Linked DNA regions of Saccharomyces cerevisiae S288C. The protein of the gene in region 2 binds, or shares a complex with, the protein of the main gene of each other region. Each region holds a gene or a part of one and is shown on either strand. Other genes may lie near its edges. A codon is read from its position in the direction of its gene.

Evidence for each region.
Region 1: the proteins of RSC30 (region 2) and RSC3 are in contact, whole or in part, in a cryo-EM structure (PDB 6K15), measured with the Saccharomyces cerevisiae proteins. Residues at the interface, in NP_011923.2 of Saccharomyces cerevisiae: Ala194 (codon at 2,941), Val195 (codon at 2,938), Phe196 (codon at 2,935), Asp197 (codon at 2,932), Leu198 (codon at 2,929), Met199 (codon at 2,926), Thr200 (codon at 2,923), Ser201 (codon at 2,920), Pro202 (codon at 2,917), Phe203 (codon at 2,914), Thr204 (codon at 2,911), Gln205 (codon at 2,908), Val208 (codon at 2,899), Leu209 (codon at 2,896), Glu212 (codon at 2,887), Ile213 (codon at 2,884), Leu216 (codon at 2,875), Lys217 (codon at 2,872), Lys219 (codon at 2,866), Leu220 (codon at 2,863), Leu223 (codon at 2,854), Gln224 (codon at 2,851); in NP_010589.3 of Saccharomyces cerevisiae: Pro155 (codon at 2,590), Leu156 (codon at 2,593), Asn157 (codon at 2,596), Trp158 (codon at 2,599), Val159 (codon at 2,602), Gln160 (codon at 2,605), Gly161 (codon at 2,608), Pro162 (codon at 2,611), Ala163 (codon at 2,614), Ile164 (codon at 2,617), Phe165 (codon at 2,620), His166 (codon at 2,623), Glu181 (codon at 2,668), Met182 (codon at 2,671), Leu185 (codon at 2,680), Arg188 (codon at 2,689), Leu189 (codon at 2,692), Leu192 (codon at 2,701), Ile195 (codon at 2,710), Thr196 (codon at 2,713).
Region 3: RSC30 (region 2) and HTL1 share a complex: the UniProt entries of both Saccharomyces cerevisiae proteins name them as parts of the fungal-specific module (HTL1-LDB7-NPL6-RSC3-RSC30) within the RSC complex.
Region 4: RSC30 (region 2) and NPL6 share a complex: the UniProt entries of both Saccharomyces cerevisiae proteins name them as parts of the fungal-specific module (HTL1-LDB7-NPL6-RSC3-RSC30) within the RSC complex.

Annotation. Positions count from the first base shown.
Region 1 is NC_001136.10:1,068,004-1,073,513, reverse strand, and holds RSC3 (Rsc3p), read left to right. Parts: upstream 1-2,127; coding exon 2,128-4,785; downstream 4,786-5,510. Other genes in the region: HNT2 (bis(5'-adenosyl)-triphosphatase), read left to right, coding at 26-112, 202-768; peptidylprolyl isomerase family protein CPR5, read left to right, coding at 957-1,634; mannose-ethanolamine phosphotransferase GPI11, read right to left, coding at 5,124-5,510. UniProt on the Saccharomyces cerevisiae protein: Component of the chromatin structure-remodeling complex (RSC), which is involved in transcription regulation and nucleosome positioning. RSC is responsible for the transfer of a histone octamer from a nucleosome core particle to naked DNA.
Region 2 is NC_001140.6:214,315-219,636, forward strand, and holds RSC30 (Rsc30p), read right to left. Parts: upstream 3,521-5,322; coding exon 869-3,520; downstream 1-868. Other genes in the region: YHR054C-B (uncharacterized protein), read right to left, coding at 203-376; metallothionein CUP1-2, read right to left, coding at 219-404; peptidylprolyl isomerase CPR2, read right to left, coding at 3,912-4,529; mediator complex subunit MED6, read right to left, coding at 4,683-5,322. UniProt on the Saccharomyces cerevisiae protein: Component of the chromatin structure-remodeling complex (RSC), which is involved in transcription regulation and nucleosome positioning. RSC is responsible for the transfer of a histone octamer from a nucleosome core particle to naked DNA.
Region 3 is NC_001135.5:153,601-156,209, reverse strand, and holds HTL1 (Htl1p), read right to left. Parts: upstream 891-2,609; coding exon 654-890; downstream 1-653. Other genes in the region: HSP30 (Hsp30p), read left to right, coding at 1-101; MAK31 (Mak31p), read left to right, coding at 1,114-1,380; PET18 (Pet18p), read left to right, coding at 1,551-2,198; MAK32 (Mak32p), read right to left, coding at 2,282-2,609. UniProt on the Saccharomyces cerevisiae protein: Required for cell cycle progression through G2/M transition at temperatures higher than 33 degrees Celsius. Component of the chromatin structure-remodeling complex (RSC), which is involved in transcription regulation and nucleosome positioning.
Region 4 is NC_001145.3:449,384-453,286, forward strand, and holds NPL6 (Npl6p), read right to left. Parts: upstream 1,983-3,903; coding exon 675-1,982; downstream 1-674. Other genes in the region: YMR090W (uncharacterized protein), read left to right, coding at 1-545; AIP1 (Aip1p), read right to left, coding at 2,249-3,903. UniProt on the Saccharomyces cerevisiae protein: Component of the chromatin structure remodeling complex (RSC), which is involved in transcription regulation and nucleosome positioning. RSC is responsible for the transfer of a histone octamer from a nucleosome core particle to naked DNA.

The DNA.
Region 1 (5,510 bases), on a different chromosome or scaffold from region 2:
TCCATTGATCTATCTTGGGCTCAGAATGATCTTAAGCAAAACAAAGAAACCTAAAAGCATGAATAAGCCAATATATTTCAGCAAGTTTCTTGTAACTGAACAAGTTTTCTATGTATGCACTCTCATATGTTTTTTTGTACCCCATTCGCACCATTGCGTTACTAACTATATGGAGACCTTATAATCTCTGCTTCTTTACAGAAGTCAAAATATACGTATGCATTGGTAAACTTGAAACCAATTGTACCCGGACATGTACTGATCGTTCCACTGAGAACTACGGTTTTAAACTTATCAGATCTGACCATGCCTGAATCTCAAGATTATTTCAAGACTTTACAGTTAATACATAGATTTATTAAGTGGCAATATAAGGCTGACTCTATCAACGTTGCCATCCAAGATGGACCTGAGGCCGGACAGTCGGTACCCCACTTGCATACACACATTATTCCACGTTATAAAATAAACAATGTAGGGGATTTAATATACGATAAATTAGATCATTGGGATGGTAATGGGACTTTGACTGATTGGCAAGGAAGAAGAGACGAATATTTGGGTGTTGGTGGTAGGCAAGCAAGAAAAAATAACTCTACATCGGCCACTGTAGACGGGGATGAACTCTCACAAGGTCCTAATGTCTTGAAGCCAGACAGTCAAAGGAAGGTTCGAGCTTTAACCGAAATGAAAAAAGAAGCTGAGGATCTTCAAGCCAGACTAGAAGAATTTGTATCTTCTGATCCTGGTTTAACACAATGGTTATAGTTCAATAAATAATAGATTCATACTTACGATATAAAAAATAGTAGGGAAGTTAATTTTCGTTTCGCAGCGAATCCCTTTTAGCAGAGGAAAAAAAAGATGAAACCATCCTTACTACTTTCCTCGAGGAGACTCAACAGTAAAGGTTACTTTCAATTCAATAAACAAAAGGCACAGCGATATCCGCAATTATGAAGCTTCAATTTTTTTCCTTTATTACCTTATTTGCTTGTCTCTTCACAACAGCCATTTTTGCGAAAGAGGACACGGCAGAAGATCCTGAGATCACACACAAGGTCTACTTTGACATTAATCACGGTGATAAACAAATTGGTAGAATTGTTATGGGATTGTATGGTCTCACCACACCCCAAACCGTTGAAAACTTTTACCAGTTGACCATTTCCAGGGACCCTAAGATGGGTTATTTGAACTCTATCTTCCATCGCGTTATTCCTAACTTCATGATTCAAGGTGGCGATTTCACTCACAGATCAGGTATTGGGGGTAAGTCTATCTTCGGAAACACGTTCAAAGATGAGAATTTTGATGTCAAACATGACAAACCAGGCAGATTGTCTATGGCCAATCGTGGTAAAAACACCAACGGATCCCAATTTTTCATCACCACCGTCCCATGCCCATGGTTGGACGGTAAGCACGTTGTCTTTGGAGAAGTCTTGGATGGTATGGACGTAGTTCACTACATTGAAAACGTTAAGACCGACAGTAGAAATATGCCTGTAAAGGAAGTTATTATTGTGGAAAGTGGTGAACTGGAAACTGTTCCTTTGGACAATAAAGACGCCGCCAAGCTACAGGAAGAGATCAAAGCGGAAGCTAGCGAAGCAGCCCACGATGAACTCTAAACTGCATCACTATTCAGGAGATGTATAGGCCAGCTATGTAACTATATAGTGCTTATAACAGTTGATTATCACATAGAACGAGTATGTTACCCTATGGCCCTTTTCTGGCACAACTTCACAAGAGTATTTCAATTGACCAACGTGGGTCTTGTTGACCAGCTGGGATCACACAGACCAAGAACTACCTTTATTATTAGGAACATACTGCTTTCTGGACACTTCCACTGCTATACCTTCTCGCAAATAGCCATAGTTCACCAATATTCATTCGGCCCGTTAGACGCTTGTAAGACCACTTTCCCGTTTTCGCCCGAGAAGATATATTAGCTGCTTACATTAGATTATTTCATCAAAACTCACGGCTTTCAAACCAAAGTCATTGGTGCTCTGCTGCAATTGCCCCATACTACGCAGATATTTAAAATCGAGGTTTCTGTGATATTTTCTTAAGCTCTTATCTACAAAAATAGCATTTCAGAACCAAAAAACAACGATGGATATTCGTGGTAGAAAAATGAAAAAACCGCCTGCATGCGTGCAGTGCCGTAAGAGGAAGATAGGCTGCGATCGTGTTAAGCCGATTTGTGGGAACTGTATGAAGCATAATAAAATGGACTGCTTTTATCCGGACGTTCCCGGACAATACGTTCCCTCTAGTTCTTCCTCTTCCAATACACGCCAAGTAGCCAACGGTCCGTACTTAAACTCTTATTACGCTTCTCGTCGTGTCTCCAAGGAAACTGCTGCACTTTTGCAGAAAAATCCAGAACTGGCTTCTTTGGAGCAAATAAGAGAATACAACACGCGTCTGCAACTGCTCAATGCTCAAAATCAACTTAATAATAGATCATCTGCGGCAAATGCAACCTTGAATCAACAACACACTCAATATATTCCAAAATCAGTGCCTTCCTTGGAAAGTAAGCCAGTCACTTCTGCAAACGAATCTTCTACTCCACTCAATTGGGTTCAAGGCCCTGCAATTTTTCATATGCTAACCTCTCCTTACACACAAGATGAAATCATCAATCATGAAATGAATTTCTTGAAAGGCAGACTACTGGAATTGCAAGAAATTACAGGTAAGAAAATTACGGGAGTAAATCTTGATCTCAAGCAGGATTCCTCAGCGCAAATGCAGTCTTCACACTCCAATAGAAACCAAGAGGAGTTTTTGACAATTAAGAAAAGAAAACTGAGTGAAGACGGCGTTACGGACGGGGACGGTAAGCCAATTCCAGAGAGTGAAAGAAGACCTCATCTTAATGAATTTAAGGATTTAGATCCTCAATTTTTGGATACTAATAAAGTTTTTAATGTGTTTAATTCTGCTATTTCAGAAGAAGGTAGAAACAGATTATGGCTGTTACCAAAAAATATAAATAAAAGTTCTATCTTCCAGATTCAGTATTTGATTGAACGTGATCCTTTCCTATTCAAATTCTTCAATGACTTGAATATATTAATTGAAACGCAATTTAATGGACCTTTGCACGATTTGGTAGCAAGCCGTAACAGTATTGAGCGCAACAGTGGCATATCTCAAATATTAAAGTTTCCTTCACAATCGATAACACAGACCCTTATCAACAAATACTTATCCACGATAACGGAAACGAATTCAATACTTCCAATATTAAAACCAAAGAGACTATTACCCATAGTTGAGCAGCTTTTTCCTTCTAACACCATTAATAAGCCAAATTCTAAAGATTTTGAAACTATTTTTCAAGTTTTTAGTGTGACCAATGATCAGCTACTAAATCTAGGATTTATTACTCTCTGTCTCCTGATTCTTTTTGAATCGTTGAATTCTACGGTTTTGATTCCTCTTAGAGATGATGAACACTTGCAATTATTCAATGTGTTATTCAACTACTTGCCTTTGTTGAAGTCTAATTTAACAACGCTTAGATTTGAAATTGAAAAAAGGTCAATGTGTAATATAGAGACCCTGCGGTTTATTTCTTTGTGGAAATATTACCAATTTGTGATGGACACGTCGTCATCGTCCTCTTTCGTAATTGATTACGACGAAGATATGCATATGGCATGTTTACTATCGTTAAATCATGAAACTCAAAATCAATCTCATATTTTGACCTGGAATTTCATATTTAAGAACTACTGCTGGAGACACCTTTTCTTAGGTCAATTGCCGTTGCTAATGTCTGAACCTTTCACAAATTCTACCCCAATTATTGATCCTTTGTTGAACAACGATTTTGAATTGATTGATTTTGAAGTAAACTTGATGAAATATTTGCAAAGTAAAGATCAACAACTATCCATTGATAAAATTATACAGTTAATCAAGCTTTTGAAAAATAAGAATATCGAGGTCAGCCAAGGATGTTTAACGACTCCTTCAATAATTAATAATATCATGGATTCTCTAATCTACAGGAATTCAATGTTATATTTGAACTTTTACCTCTTATTGCAATTTGAAACATTGAAAAATTATGCTAAATTTAACGAAATTTTGGAAGACTTTTTGGAATTGTCGAGGGAGACCTTGTTCTTTGTTTTCTCGAACTTAGCCAATATTAAATTTGCTGGTCATGAATTCACATTCATCAATAAATCTATTGTGGTTCTGCAAACTTTAGTTTTAATGCTTTTGGCGCTCTATCAAAGGTCTTTTGATTCTTCAAAGAGGACGAATGATGCTAATGAAATCAGTGAGCAAACAGATATTCATAGTAATAACGACAATAGTAAGAGAATAAAGAATAAAAATGTTATTCATTTAATTATCAACAAAATTGCAATGTTGTTAAGTGATTATACCAAGAATTGTAAAAAGCAAAATAAACTCATCGAAAATCTGATTATTAAAATTAAGACAATCTCCAAGTATATCAAAAATCTTGAGGAGAATAAGGTAACGACTAGCGCCGATTCAAATTATTCCATTAATAACGGATTTTCTGGCATATCTGCAGAGCAGTTGATTAAATTAAATCACGAGTTGAGTAAAATTTCAGAATCTCTGATAAAAACGGATTTTTATGAACAGAGGAAAAATAGCACAGTTTCTAATGGAGTTTTAGGCGCAGCAGCTCCTGTTGATAGCGACGCAAATTCGGATACTTTCGGTTTAACAAAGGAGAATTTCAACGAAGTTTTTGAGGCTATTCGTAGCTAAAGCGACTCAAACAAATTAAAGAAGAAGTTGAGACTTTTATAGTATTTATTATTTAATCTGAGGATTTGTATTATTTTTTTATATAGAATGAATAAATCAGAAAAAGGAAATTATGAAAAGAAAAGAATGAGGAGAGTGGGAGATATTTAATGTTGTTAGCTATTTATCTGTATGGAAGTTATTACCTTCTTTTAAGATGGTACAAATAGCATATAGGTGGGTTTGGTATAAAGATCATTTAGTTTTTGTCATAGATTTTTCAATTGTGCATAGGACCAGTTTATGTTACCTCTATCATACTTATATTTTTTTATATACAAATTTTTAAATTACCGATATTATATATAGGCACCGATAGTATAGCCCACCAAAGCGCCCAAATAACCTCCAACAACAATAGGAATTGGCCAATTCTGCCAATCTCTATCCCAATCCAAAGGAATGACAACACAACTAATCCAACCCCCTACAACGATAAAGATAAAATACTTCTTCCATAATCCCACTTTGAAATCACAATTAAATACAGAATAAACTGCAGGGTATGCTAAAAATGCAAAATGCAGTGACAACAGCCAGGTTTCCCACAATAAGTCCATTAATGGCGCACCAAATAATATAGTTAATAACATTGTGGGAAAGCTCAACAAAAATGTAACACCTAGACAAATAATGGTCAATGAGTAATTGATCTTAATGATTTTGTTACCGTAAACTGTGCATTT
Region 2 (5,322 bases):
AACTAGAATTTGGTAATAATATTTTATTCTTGGGGCGACATATGGAGATACTTTATTTCCTTTTCTTAATTATTAACGTATACCTATAAATTAACAAAGTATCTAAACAAAATACATAAGTGTACTCAAACTGAGTAGAATCGTCGATTAAACTTCCTTCTCCTTTTAAAAATTAAAAACAGCAAATAGTTAGATGAATATATTAAAGACTATTCGTTTCATTTCCCAGAGCAGCATGACTTCTTGGTTTCTTCAGACTTGTTACCGCAGGGGCATTTGTCGTCGCTGTTACACCCCGTTGGGCAGCTACATGATTTTTGGCATTGTTCATTATTTTTGCAGCTACCACATTGGCATTGGCACTCATGACCTTCATTTTGGAAGTTAATTAATTCGCTGAACATTTTATGTGATGATTGATTGATTGATTGTACAGTTTGTTTTTCTTAATATCTATTTCGATGACTTCTATATGATATTGCACTAACAAGAAGATATTATAATGCAATTGATACAAGACAAGGAGTTATTTGCTTCTCTTTTATATGATTCTGACAATCCATATTGCGTTGGTAGTCTTTTTTGCTGGAACGGTTCAGCGGAAAAGACGCATCGCTCTTTTTGCTTCTAGAAGAAATGCCAGCAAAAGAATCTCTTGACAGTGACTGACAGCAAAAATGTCTTTTTCTAACTAGTAACAAGGCTAAGATATCAGCCTGAAATAAAGGGTGGTGAAGTAATAATTAAATCATCCGTATAAACCTATACACATATATGAGGAAAAATAATACAAAAGTGTTTTAAATACAGATACATACATGAACATATGCACGTATAGCGCCCAAATGTCGGTAATGGGATCGGCTTACTAATTATAAAATGCATCATAGAAATCGTTGAAGTTTGCCGTAGTAATACCCAGATTATCAGATTCCAAATCCTTGTCAATAATTATACTCCTTTGGACAACTTCTCTTTCCATTAAAAAATCTGAAATCTCCTTAAATTTTAAATAGATTCTGTTCAGTTCACTAACGGGGAATTTCAAGAGAACATTTTTGTTCTTCGCCGACTGACTATAATCTGTAACATTATTGTTATCAGAGTTTCTCGCAAAATTTTGTTTTTTCTTGCTAAATCTCAGCATATATTTAATCAGATTCAAAACCTTGTTGAAACCTTTAATAGATTTGAAACTTCCGTTGCTATTCATTTCATCTCGTAAAAAGGATACGATAATTTCTATTTTTTTTAAAATTTCCAAAATCTTGTCATGAATCAATAGCAATTGAACATTAATCTCCTCATTTGAAAGATTTTTGTAAAATTCGTCATATAATATTACTTCACAACGTTGGAAAATAGCAAATGTGATTGCTATAAAATTCTGTAAGATTTCAATAAAATGATTTGCGAATAAAAATTCTTTACCATTAGAATGAAAGCGATTATTGCCGCTTGAAAATGACTTTATCGACTTTATGGGGAAGATAAAATTAAATGTTATTGAGTAAAAAATGTGCATATTAGAAATAATTTTCATCAGATCCTTTGCACATCTTTCAGAGTTCGAGGTCTTATTGTTGTTAGAAGAATGTTGAACTGCCATGGACAAAGAGGATTCGTTTTGAACAAAAAGGAAAAAATTTGTATAAACAATGGTATTGATAAAATTTAAAGTGTCTTTCCATTCTTTTCTGACTTCGTTGTCATGAAAATATAAGTCTACTGTATTACTCACGCCCATAGTCAAGGTTTCTAACAGACTTTCAATTTTGGTTAAATTTACTGGCAAGTAGAAAGGAACACCTTGCAGAATATTTATCAATTTTGCTTGCGTTTCCAGTAATTTTAAATCGTTAGCAATTAAAGGAATGTCGTTCGTATCAATAGAGGCAGGTATCGGAGATAGGTTTTCAGCAGCGGGTACCATGAATGAAGACTGACCTAGAAGCGAATGTCTTGAGTAATACATTTTTTTCAAAAAATGGAATAACTTGAAATCTTTTATCTGGAAGCTTAACAGACAGCTCAAATCTTCGTCTAAACTTGATTTATGATCATCATGCATGTACAGAGATTCATAAAATTTTGTGATGGCAATAAATTTGATTGTCTCTTGGTCATAATATTCCAGGTTTATCAATGTGATTTGGCTTCGAATCAACCTCAAATTATTCATTAATGCCGAAACATGGTTATTAATAGCCTGCTTATTGAATAGGGTCATTGAATCGTTTAACAACAGTAGAAGCACAGTTAATTCGCCTAGTTTGGTCAGTTGAGATAAAGGAAGATCGACCGTTGAGAATGAAGGACAGGTATCACCATTTGGAAAAGAGTTATGAACAAATTCTAGTAAGAGGGTTTTGTCAAAGATTGGCAAAAATTCTTCAATATTCAGATTGTTAAGGGATTCAGAGTTTAGTGTCTCAATAATTATTGCTTTTGGTGGGAAGTTAACTTTGCAAACTTCCATATATTGTTGGTGATTTTTATTGTTAGGAGGACTTACTTTGAACTGATTAATATGGCAGATATCGTGCAAAATATTATAGAACTTGAAAAGATAATGATCTCTAAAAATGATGAAGTTTTTAGTGAAAAGGTAGTTGGGGGTATCCTTCAACGGTTTCACTTGGACTAAACTTTGCACATCTGTTATTGTGAGCGCTGTAAAGTATTTTTGTGAGGACTGAGAAGTCCTTGAAGTCTGATGATCAAATCCGGCTCTTTTACCGTCAACCTTGCCTTTCTTAGAATTCTCACCTGTTTTGTTAATTTTGTTTGCCGTGGTATTGTCGGCATTTAAATTCGATTTTTCTTTCAAACTTTTCAGTTGCAAGCTTTGTAAATCAAGCAATTTGTTTTTTAAAAAGTCTATCTCCTTGATTAATACTTCCTCTTGAGTAAACGGAGAAGTCATTAGATCGAAAACGGCCGAGTCTTGATTGATACCAACATTAAAAGAGTATGGGTTATCTGTATAGTCAAAACTTTGAGCGTTAACCAGTTGTAATCGTGTGTTATATTCTCTAATCTGATCCATGGAGGGCACATCTGGACTATCGCTTCTCACAATAGTGTTTCCATGAACATTACTACTAACGGTACTACTATTCTGACGAGGAGCAGTATTATTATTGGTGTTATTATTCTGGTAGCTAGCGGCCTTGGTCCACTGCATCGCAGTATCCACAGAGGGGTTGAACGAGAAGTTGAATGCCTCTATCGACGTTTGCATAATCGGATACTGCGTTTGAATCATTACGTTTTTCTGATTTACACCGTTTCCCTGACTAAAATGGTTGGAACCTTGGCCATTGCCGTGCGTGGACATCCCGGACGCAGAGGGCACAGCGACCATCTTACCAGGTCCATCTGGATAAAAACAGTCCGGCTTGTTATACTTGACGCAATTCCCACATATCGGTTTTGCCCTGTCGCACCCGATCTTTCTCTTCCTGCATTGGGTGCAAGCAGGCGGCTTCCTCACTTTTCTCACTTGCATGTCCATCATGATTAAAAACAAACGGCAAAGCTACGCACTAGTCACAGCAGACAACGACAATGCTCCTCTCATAAATTGCTAAGATACATTAAAAACAACAACTCTCTTCTTGTTCTTCCTCTCTTTGCATCATTCCTGCAAAATATCACACTACACGAGCTAGGATGTATAACCATCCTTAGTAGGACGCCAAGGTTATATTCAAAATGATATGATTTCCCCAATTAATACTTGCTGTTGCATTTTGAATCGGATGTAACTGGGACTAATGCTGCGCTAACCAGACGTACGTTCCGGTGGTCACAGTGCGGAACTGTTCCCACGTTCTCTAGTTAATTTACCTTTAACTATACATACTGAAATTGATATCTATGTATATAGTATGAAATATTGCATATACTCAAGAAGAGAGCTCAGGCGTCCACTCACCGCATTTTGCGATCTTGACCGCCTCGAGAGGTTTGTCATTCGCATCTCTGGACACGTGCTGTATGTAGTTCACCACATCCATGCCGTCCACAACCTGTCCAAATACCACATGCTTTCCATCGAGCCACGACGCTTCTTCCGTAGTGGTGATGAAGAACTGAGATCCATTGGTATCTTTACCACGATTAGCCATCGATAGTCTGCCCTTGCGATCATGCTTCAAAGTAAAGTTTTCGTCAGGGAAAGTATCTCCATAGATGGATTTGCCACCAACGCCAGTGCCGTCTGTGAAGTCCCCTCCCTGTACCATGAAGTTGGGAATCACCCTATGGAAAGTGGACCCGATGAACCCCTTTTTGGAATTAGTGGTGGTGCTTAACTTGTAGAAGTTCTTCGCCGTCTTAGGACATACCTTTCCGTACAACCCAATAACGATTCTGCCAACTTTCTCTTCACCATGTTCAATATCGAAAAACACCTTTTGTGTAATTACTTCGTCGTCCTGATCAATCAACTCACCCACATCAGATGCAATAACATTAACGCTAAGGAATAATAACAACCAACACCACAAGCCACTGAATTTCATTTTGTTTTCCCTTCGTGTCTTTTTCCTCTCATTTCTTTCCTTTTGGGGGAACTTCTTATGATGGGTACATCGATTTTTGAAGAAAACTGAAAAGTTGATTTCGCGGGGTTTTATAATATAGTACAAAGATATATGCAATTGCCATGGCAGTTCTCATATGTAGTTTGGGGTGGATCGAATGCTTGTGACCATTAATTTGTCCAACATCTCTGTAGTTATACCCATGTTACCGTTGCCAGTACGACCGGTACCGTTGTCTATAGTTTGTCCTCCTGTACCCATAGTGTTGACTGTCATGTTGACATTTGTGGTTGAGGGAACAGTCGCCATATTGGCACCGCCGGTAGGTCGTACACTGCTCTTGTTACTGCCCCCTCCAGCGTTGTTCCCGTTGGTGGCAGCCGTTGCAGTCGTGCTAGTGTCCGTAGGTACTTTATAGTGTACTCCTTGGGAAGGTTGAAACTCAATCAAGTCATACAAGCTCTCCAATGTGCTATTTAGATGGTAGCTCGTGGACATCAGCCTACTTTGCACAATTTTAAAAATTGTTGGCGATTGGTAAATGTTTGCACCAATTATGTAGTAGTCTTGCAATGGAATAATCTCTGGTCCCTTAGCGCTTCCCACACCAGAATTGTTTGTTCGTCTTTGCTTCCTGATAACCCAGAAGTCAGGCTCTCTTACGCTGCTCAATACGTATTCAGTACCATCTAACTTCATTAATTCCTCCTCCAGTTGCATATACATAGGATACTTGAAAAGGATTTGTCTTCTTGCCGGATCCACATAGGCA
Region 3 (2,609 bases), on a different chromosome or scaffold from region 2:
AAACAAAAGAAGCTGTTCCAGAGAGCCCAAGAGCATCTGGAGAGACTGCAATCCACGAACCCGAACCTGAAGCAGAGCAAGCTGTCGAAGATACTGCTTAGAGCAGCTTGAGATTGTCTTAATCATTCTTTGCTTAACACATTTCAAAACATCAGTTTTCTTCTTTTAATGTCACTAATGAAACTTAATATTTAATAATCTAATTTTAATTTCTTTATGAAATATGCAAAATAAATTATATACACAAACACAATAATTAATAATCTAATCTCATTTTTCCAAAATCAAGAAATGTTCTTACTGCTTCCATGCCTGAATAGTCTAATCGATAGTAGGCCATTTCAATTCTTTTTAGTTATATGGAGACGCAAACACCACTTTATTTTAGCGTACCCTACCAAAATTAAACGATAATATGGTATTTTTATTCTCATTTGTTACACTCTATTCTGTATCACTGGATACATTCGCGGTAACTTGTTTTATAAAGTGAGATGGGATTTATGACCATTAGATGCATATAAAAGCTTCCAAATAATAATAAGATATTGTGACTTTTGGTGAACTAGATACGCTTTGAAATTCTTCATTTGTAATGAAGCAGGATTCACATTCAATATTTTGTAGCTTACAATTGTGAATGTTGCGTTTTCCTACTTTTTCCTTTCATTTTTCAAAGCATCGAGCATTTTTTTCATTTCTTCCAAACTCATCCTTTGCCTTTCAGGATTGATAATACTATTGTGTCTTTCCGTACTTTCTACCAAGTTCAATAACTCGCATATGTTTTCTCTTTGAGATAATAACTGAAATGCTGTTAAATTTTTCAGCGTTACATTGTTGTAAGCTCTTTCAGGATTCATTGAGCTGATTGTGTTGTTCTGTGACATACGATATACTGATACTCTGTTCTAAATAACACAATCCTTTCGTTCTATCATAAAATTCAATGTTATAGGCTCATTTTGTGCATCTTATGTGGCGGATTAATTTTTTTTTTTTCAAAAAATATCTCGCGAAGTGCATGAGTTCTGACTATTTTTTAAATGCGATGATATCATTGATAGGGTGAAGATAGTCTTCAACAAACTTAGTAAGGGGCACCAAAGCGTCATGGACATCTTGAAACTGTCAGATTTTATTGGAAATACTTTAATAGTTTCCCTTACAGAAGATCGTATTTTAGTTGGAAGCTTGGTTGCTGTAGATGCCCAAATGAATTTGCTATTAGATCATGTTGAGGAACGTATGGGCTCCAGTAGTAGAATGATGGGCCTAGTCAGCGTCCCTAGGCGTTCCGTTAAGACCATAATGATTGATAAGCCTGTTCTGCAGGAGCTTACTGCGAATAAAGTTGAATTGATGGCTAATATTGTTTAGCGCATATGGTTCTAATAGTTTCCATAGTAACAATTGCTTGGCAAAAAAGGTCTGGCTTCGAAAGATATATAAACGAATATGAACTGGACTGAACTTAGATATTTTTTTCTGTATTAACTAAAATTTAGCGCAAATAATAACAATATCAACAATATCTGCAAGGAAGAACAATGAGCTGTACCACTGATAAGTTAATACAAAAGTACGACGCCCTTGTTAGGAAAACCACAGAACATAAATTCGCTAAGGAACTATGTGCCGGAACATTGAAGGACCGTAGTTTGTACATCTATTTATCACAAGATCTGCAATTTTTTGAAACTAGCTTAAGGTTGATATGTAAGACGACTTCTTTAGCACCAACTACTCACGCTTTAATAACCTTAGCCAAAAAGATTGGATTTTTTTCTAATGATGAAAACTCATACTTTCATGACTGCTTAGAATTATTGGCACCATCCCTCACCAAGGAAGAAAGAGATAATTTTGACAATAAAGCGATCCCCGGCGTTGATGCGTATATTAATTTCTTAGATGAGCTGAGAAAGGACGCCTCAATTACATGGCCATCCTTAGTAACCAGCTTATGGGTTGCTGAGGAACTCTATTGGAGATGGGCTCGTGATACTCCTAGAGCCCCAGGGTTGCATTGGAAATATCAAAAATGGATTGATTTACATGATGGTGAGCATTTTCAAACTTGGTGTGAATTTCTAAAGGCTGAAGTTGACAAGTTTCCCGTCGAAGAAGTGGAAAGCATATTTGTGAAGGTTTCACAGTTCGAGTTCGAATTTTTTGAATCTTGTTACAACGCCTAATCTCAAGTAGTATATAACACTTACTTATATATATATATGTATATTTTTGCAGAAAAATAAGAGCAATGAACAAGCTGATATGATCATCGTGTTAGACTTTTGTAAAGATCGTTTATATTATATTGAAGACCGGACTGTGAAAGGTAAAATTTCAGTCTATCCAAGAATGTGATTCCGTTCCAGGTTTTAGCAATTGGATCGTACCTCGGTATTCCGAATTGTTCAATTATTGCGCCTGCAGCGATGTTCCCACATATACTAGCAATATCTAAGCTTTTCGTTAGGGCATAAGAAACTGCAAAGCCGCCAAGGAACGAGTTTCCCCCGCCAGTAGGATCTAGTACTTTAGACTGAGTTTTGAAATGGTAGGCGGGGAAATGGTCATAGGTTCGTCCGTTCTTAAACTTCTCA
Region 4 (3,903 bases), on a different chromosome or scaffold from region 2:
ATGAAGTAGGTGTTGATGCTAGTTTGACAGATATAGAAAACGCGTCCGTTAGTGAGATCACAGACGCTATTAAGGCTTATGATGCCGTGGTCTTTAGCGCCGGTGCGGGTGGTAAAGGAATGGAAAGAATTTTCACGGTTGATCTGGATGGCTGTATCAAAGTTGTTGAAGCATGCGAAAAGGCTGGTATCAAAAGGTTCGTTGTTGTTTCAGCGCTCAAGGCGGAGGATAGAGATTTTTGGTATAACATTAAGGGTTTGCGTGAATACTATATTGCAAAGAGATCTGCTGATCGTGAGGTTAGAAACTCTAATTTGGATTACACTATTTTACAGCCTGGATCGTTGGAACTAAATAAAGGTACCGGTCTTTTGCAACCCCTTGACAAATTAGAAGAGAAGGCTTCTGTTAACTACTCCATTAACAGGGAGGATGTAGCTTCTTTTATTGTGGAAAGCTTGCTACATCCAAATGCAACAGTGAAAAAAACCATTTCGTTGGTAAATGGCAACGAGCCAATGGAAAAATTCATTCAAAGTTTGTAGATCAACCTATTTACGCGTGAAATGCATATGTAGATGAATAGTCAAGAAAAGAAAAAGAAAGTGAGAATATATGAATTTTTTTACCTTGATTTGAAGATAAAAATTTGTTATATTGTTACATTGAGTATACTAAATATATTCGTTGCATTTTTCGAAATTTTGTTGTTCGGTGATAGCCCTTAAAACGTCTTCATCAACAACGTCTTCATAGATCTCTTTCGGGATTTCCGACAGTCCCGTTTTCGGTTTATTCAAATCGTTATCGTGTATAACGGTCTCATACACAATGCTTGTGTCGCTGGGACTATCGTTTTTTGATCTCCTCCATCCTAAAACAGTGGTTGACTGTGTGGATTCTGGTATGTGTAATATATTTGTGTATGCATCTCTCAAGCCTTGTTGATCTACAAGAAGAACCTTCACTCTATCATAAAACAAATCGCTATTAAATCTACTACACGCAGCAGAATGCTGATAGAGCCAATTTGTAGAGCTCAGCTTACTACCTGATGCAATAATATTAGAATTACTCATGTGACCATGTGGCCTGTGTTCAAAGAATTCCACCTGGTTTTTTGCAGGGTTTATGCCATTCTCGGAAGCAGGATACATCATGGTTTCTAAGGCCCTTGCGGATTTATCAATAGGATCACCAGCAAGTTTTCCTTCAATTACATTTCCCTTTGTTCTTAATTCAGAAGCATAATAATCATCGGTTATATGTTTGCCGCCACGAATGATTTTAGCACCAAATTCTTTAAACACGCCTCTAGCGGTGACTAGAGCGATTTGTCTATTTCTATATGAATAAGGTAAAACGCCACGGTCTATCAAGTCGTTCTTTTGAGTTTGATTCAGAATGAACTTATAAAGGTTGGGGTGAGTTTGAAAAAATAAATATGAATCTCTAAAACCCACTATCCTAGCCGGTTCGGTGGCCAGCATAAACTTTCGATTCCCCTTCTCAGTTAATGTGAAGGTGCGCACTAAAAATTCTCTGCCTCCTAATAGATCACCATCTGCAGTTATCTTCGTCTCACCTTCAGGATCATCTGGTAGAACATATTCTTCATTGACCACTTTCAAAGGATTTAAGTTCTCCTCAGCATCATCGATTCCGGGAAATACTGGTTTTTTGAACTTTGAACGGTTTCTAGATCTAGTAACGCCTTTATCCTCTGACAAATCCTCTTCTTCGTCCACGTGCCTCCTTTTGTTTCTTCCGCTTTTATTTATCTGTTCCTCCTCATCACTTATTTCTTCTTCATTCACTCCCTCATTGGCTTCTTCTTCTCTGTAATCATCATCTTCATTCTCATCATTTTCATCAATATCTAAATCCTCAGTATCAATTGCATAATTGGGTCTGTTGCTAGTAGATCTTGACCGCTTCTCATGTTCAACTTCGGAAGCTAGACCTCCCTCTGAATCTGACATTTCTGCTAGATGGTATTTCCTTCTTCAAAAGTAAATGTACTGTATTCAGTAATGCTTAAACTTTATAAAGCTGTTTTCTTGCAATATTTTTGTCTGCTCACAGTAACATGTTTAATAGTTCGAACGGGTTTTTTTTTAAAAGAGCGAAGTAATCAAAGCATTCGGGTAATAATTACAAGTTTATATGGACTGTGGTAAAAACAGTGTAAAACTTTTTTATATCTATTTTTCTAAGGTTACGTAATTGTTTACTTTATATTCTTATCTCACTCGAGGACAACATTCCACCTTTTAATGCAAGCGTCCGCACCAGAACTAACCAAGGTAGATGGTGTTTCCCATAAAAGGTTGTTAACACCGTCCTTGTGAGCATTCAACGCCTTAATGATTTTCATAGGTCTTTTGACGGAGTAAATAAAAATATTGGTGTCTAAAGAACCAGTGGCAACTAAGTCCTCTTCAATTTCCTCTTCGTTTGCTCCCTTTTCAGCAGGTTTCCATGAAATGGCGTTGATTTTACTGGTGTGGAAAGCCCATCTTGAAGTTTTCACTTCTCTTGATTGTAAATCATATAGCAATATCTTGCCCATAACATCTCCAGCAGCGATGTATGTTTCAGATGGCGAAATTGATATGTACGAGGGTTTTGCGCGAAGAGGTGTTTTTAAATCAAAACTGACTTCCAAATCTGATAATTTGAATACCTGAATAGTATTACCTTCTTCCAAACCAACTGCAACGTAATTTTGGCTCAAGCTAACGGCAGAGCCTGGTGAGTTCAGTCTTACACTCTTGATTATATCGCCCGTAAAAGACTGTAATATCAACAAATCATCATCATTTGTTAGTACTGCAGTGAAGCCATCATTGTTCGCACTAGCAACCTTTGGTTGCGATCCAAATTCATGCTTAGTAATACCGTTCACTTTCAAAGTATCATCCCAAGAAATACTGGAGTATTCTTGCGCTTTACTATTATCCAATGATACAATCAAGTTGGAGTGATCTTGGTGCATGGAAGAGCTAGACCATTCCATAATCCTACCATCATATGACCCACTGATTAGTGGGTTGACTGTCAAAGCAGTAATACCCTTGTTATGACCACTAATGGTTTTTAAAACCTCGTCATGTCCAAGTTCATAGAAGTTTAAGGTCCCATCCAGTGAAAGAGAAATAATCCTTCCGTTTCCTGTTGCAACAACACCAACTTGTTGATTTCCCAGTTGTTGCTTGTCTAAGGTCCATTTTTGAACGCATTTTGAAGTCGTGACGTCCCAAACCCTAATGGTAGCGTCTGCTCCTACGGTAGCAAACTTTTGGGAATCAAGCCACGATAGTGCAAATATACCACCTTGAACTGGTTCTTGATCATCCTCTATGTATTTAAGAAACTCACCTGATTTGCCATCAAAGCAAGAAATCTTTCTGTCAGACCCTACCGTAATAACAAATTCACCGCTGTCAGGTGAAAATTCAACATCCCTGACAAATGAGCCTTGTTTGTGGTGTGTTCTGTCACTGGCAGAGAACTTAAATGGAGGTCCTTGATAAAAGACAACAGATCCATCATCTCCAACTGTCATAGATCTCATAGGTCTAGATTGCTTCAAATGACAAGCATTGATGCGTTGTGAGTGACCTGAAACTTCACCTAAGGAATTACCAGAATCCCAGGATATGAAAACACCAAAGTTATCACGACCTTCTCCCACAACGCAGAGTCTTCGCCCTTCAAAATCCCAGGAGATATCGCTGATTGGACCTGCTAAAACTTGGAATTCAGACTTAACATTCACTTCAACAGAATTGCTTTCTTTGTCAAATGTCCATCCCCAAACAATCACTTTTCCAGATTCGTCACCGGAGCATAGGTACTGGGAACCCTTAATTGGAGAGAACTTTACCGTTGTGACTACCG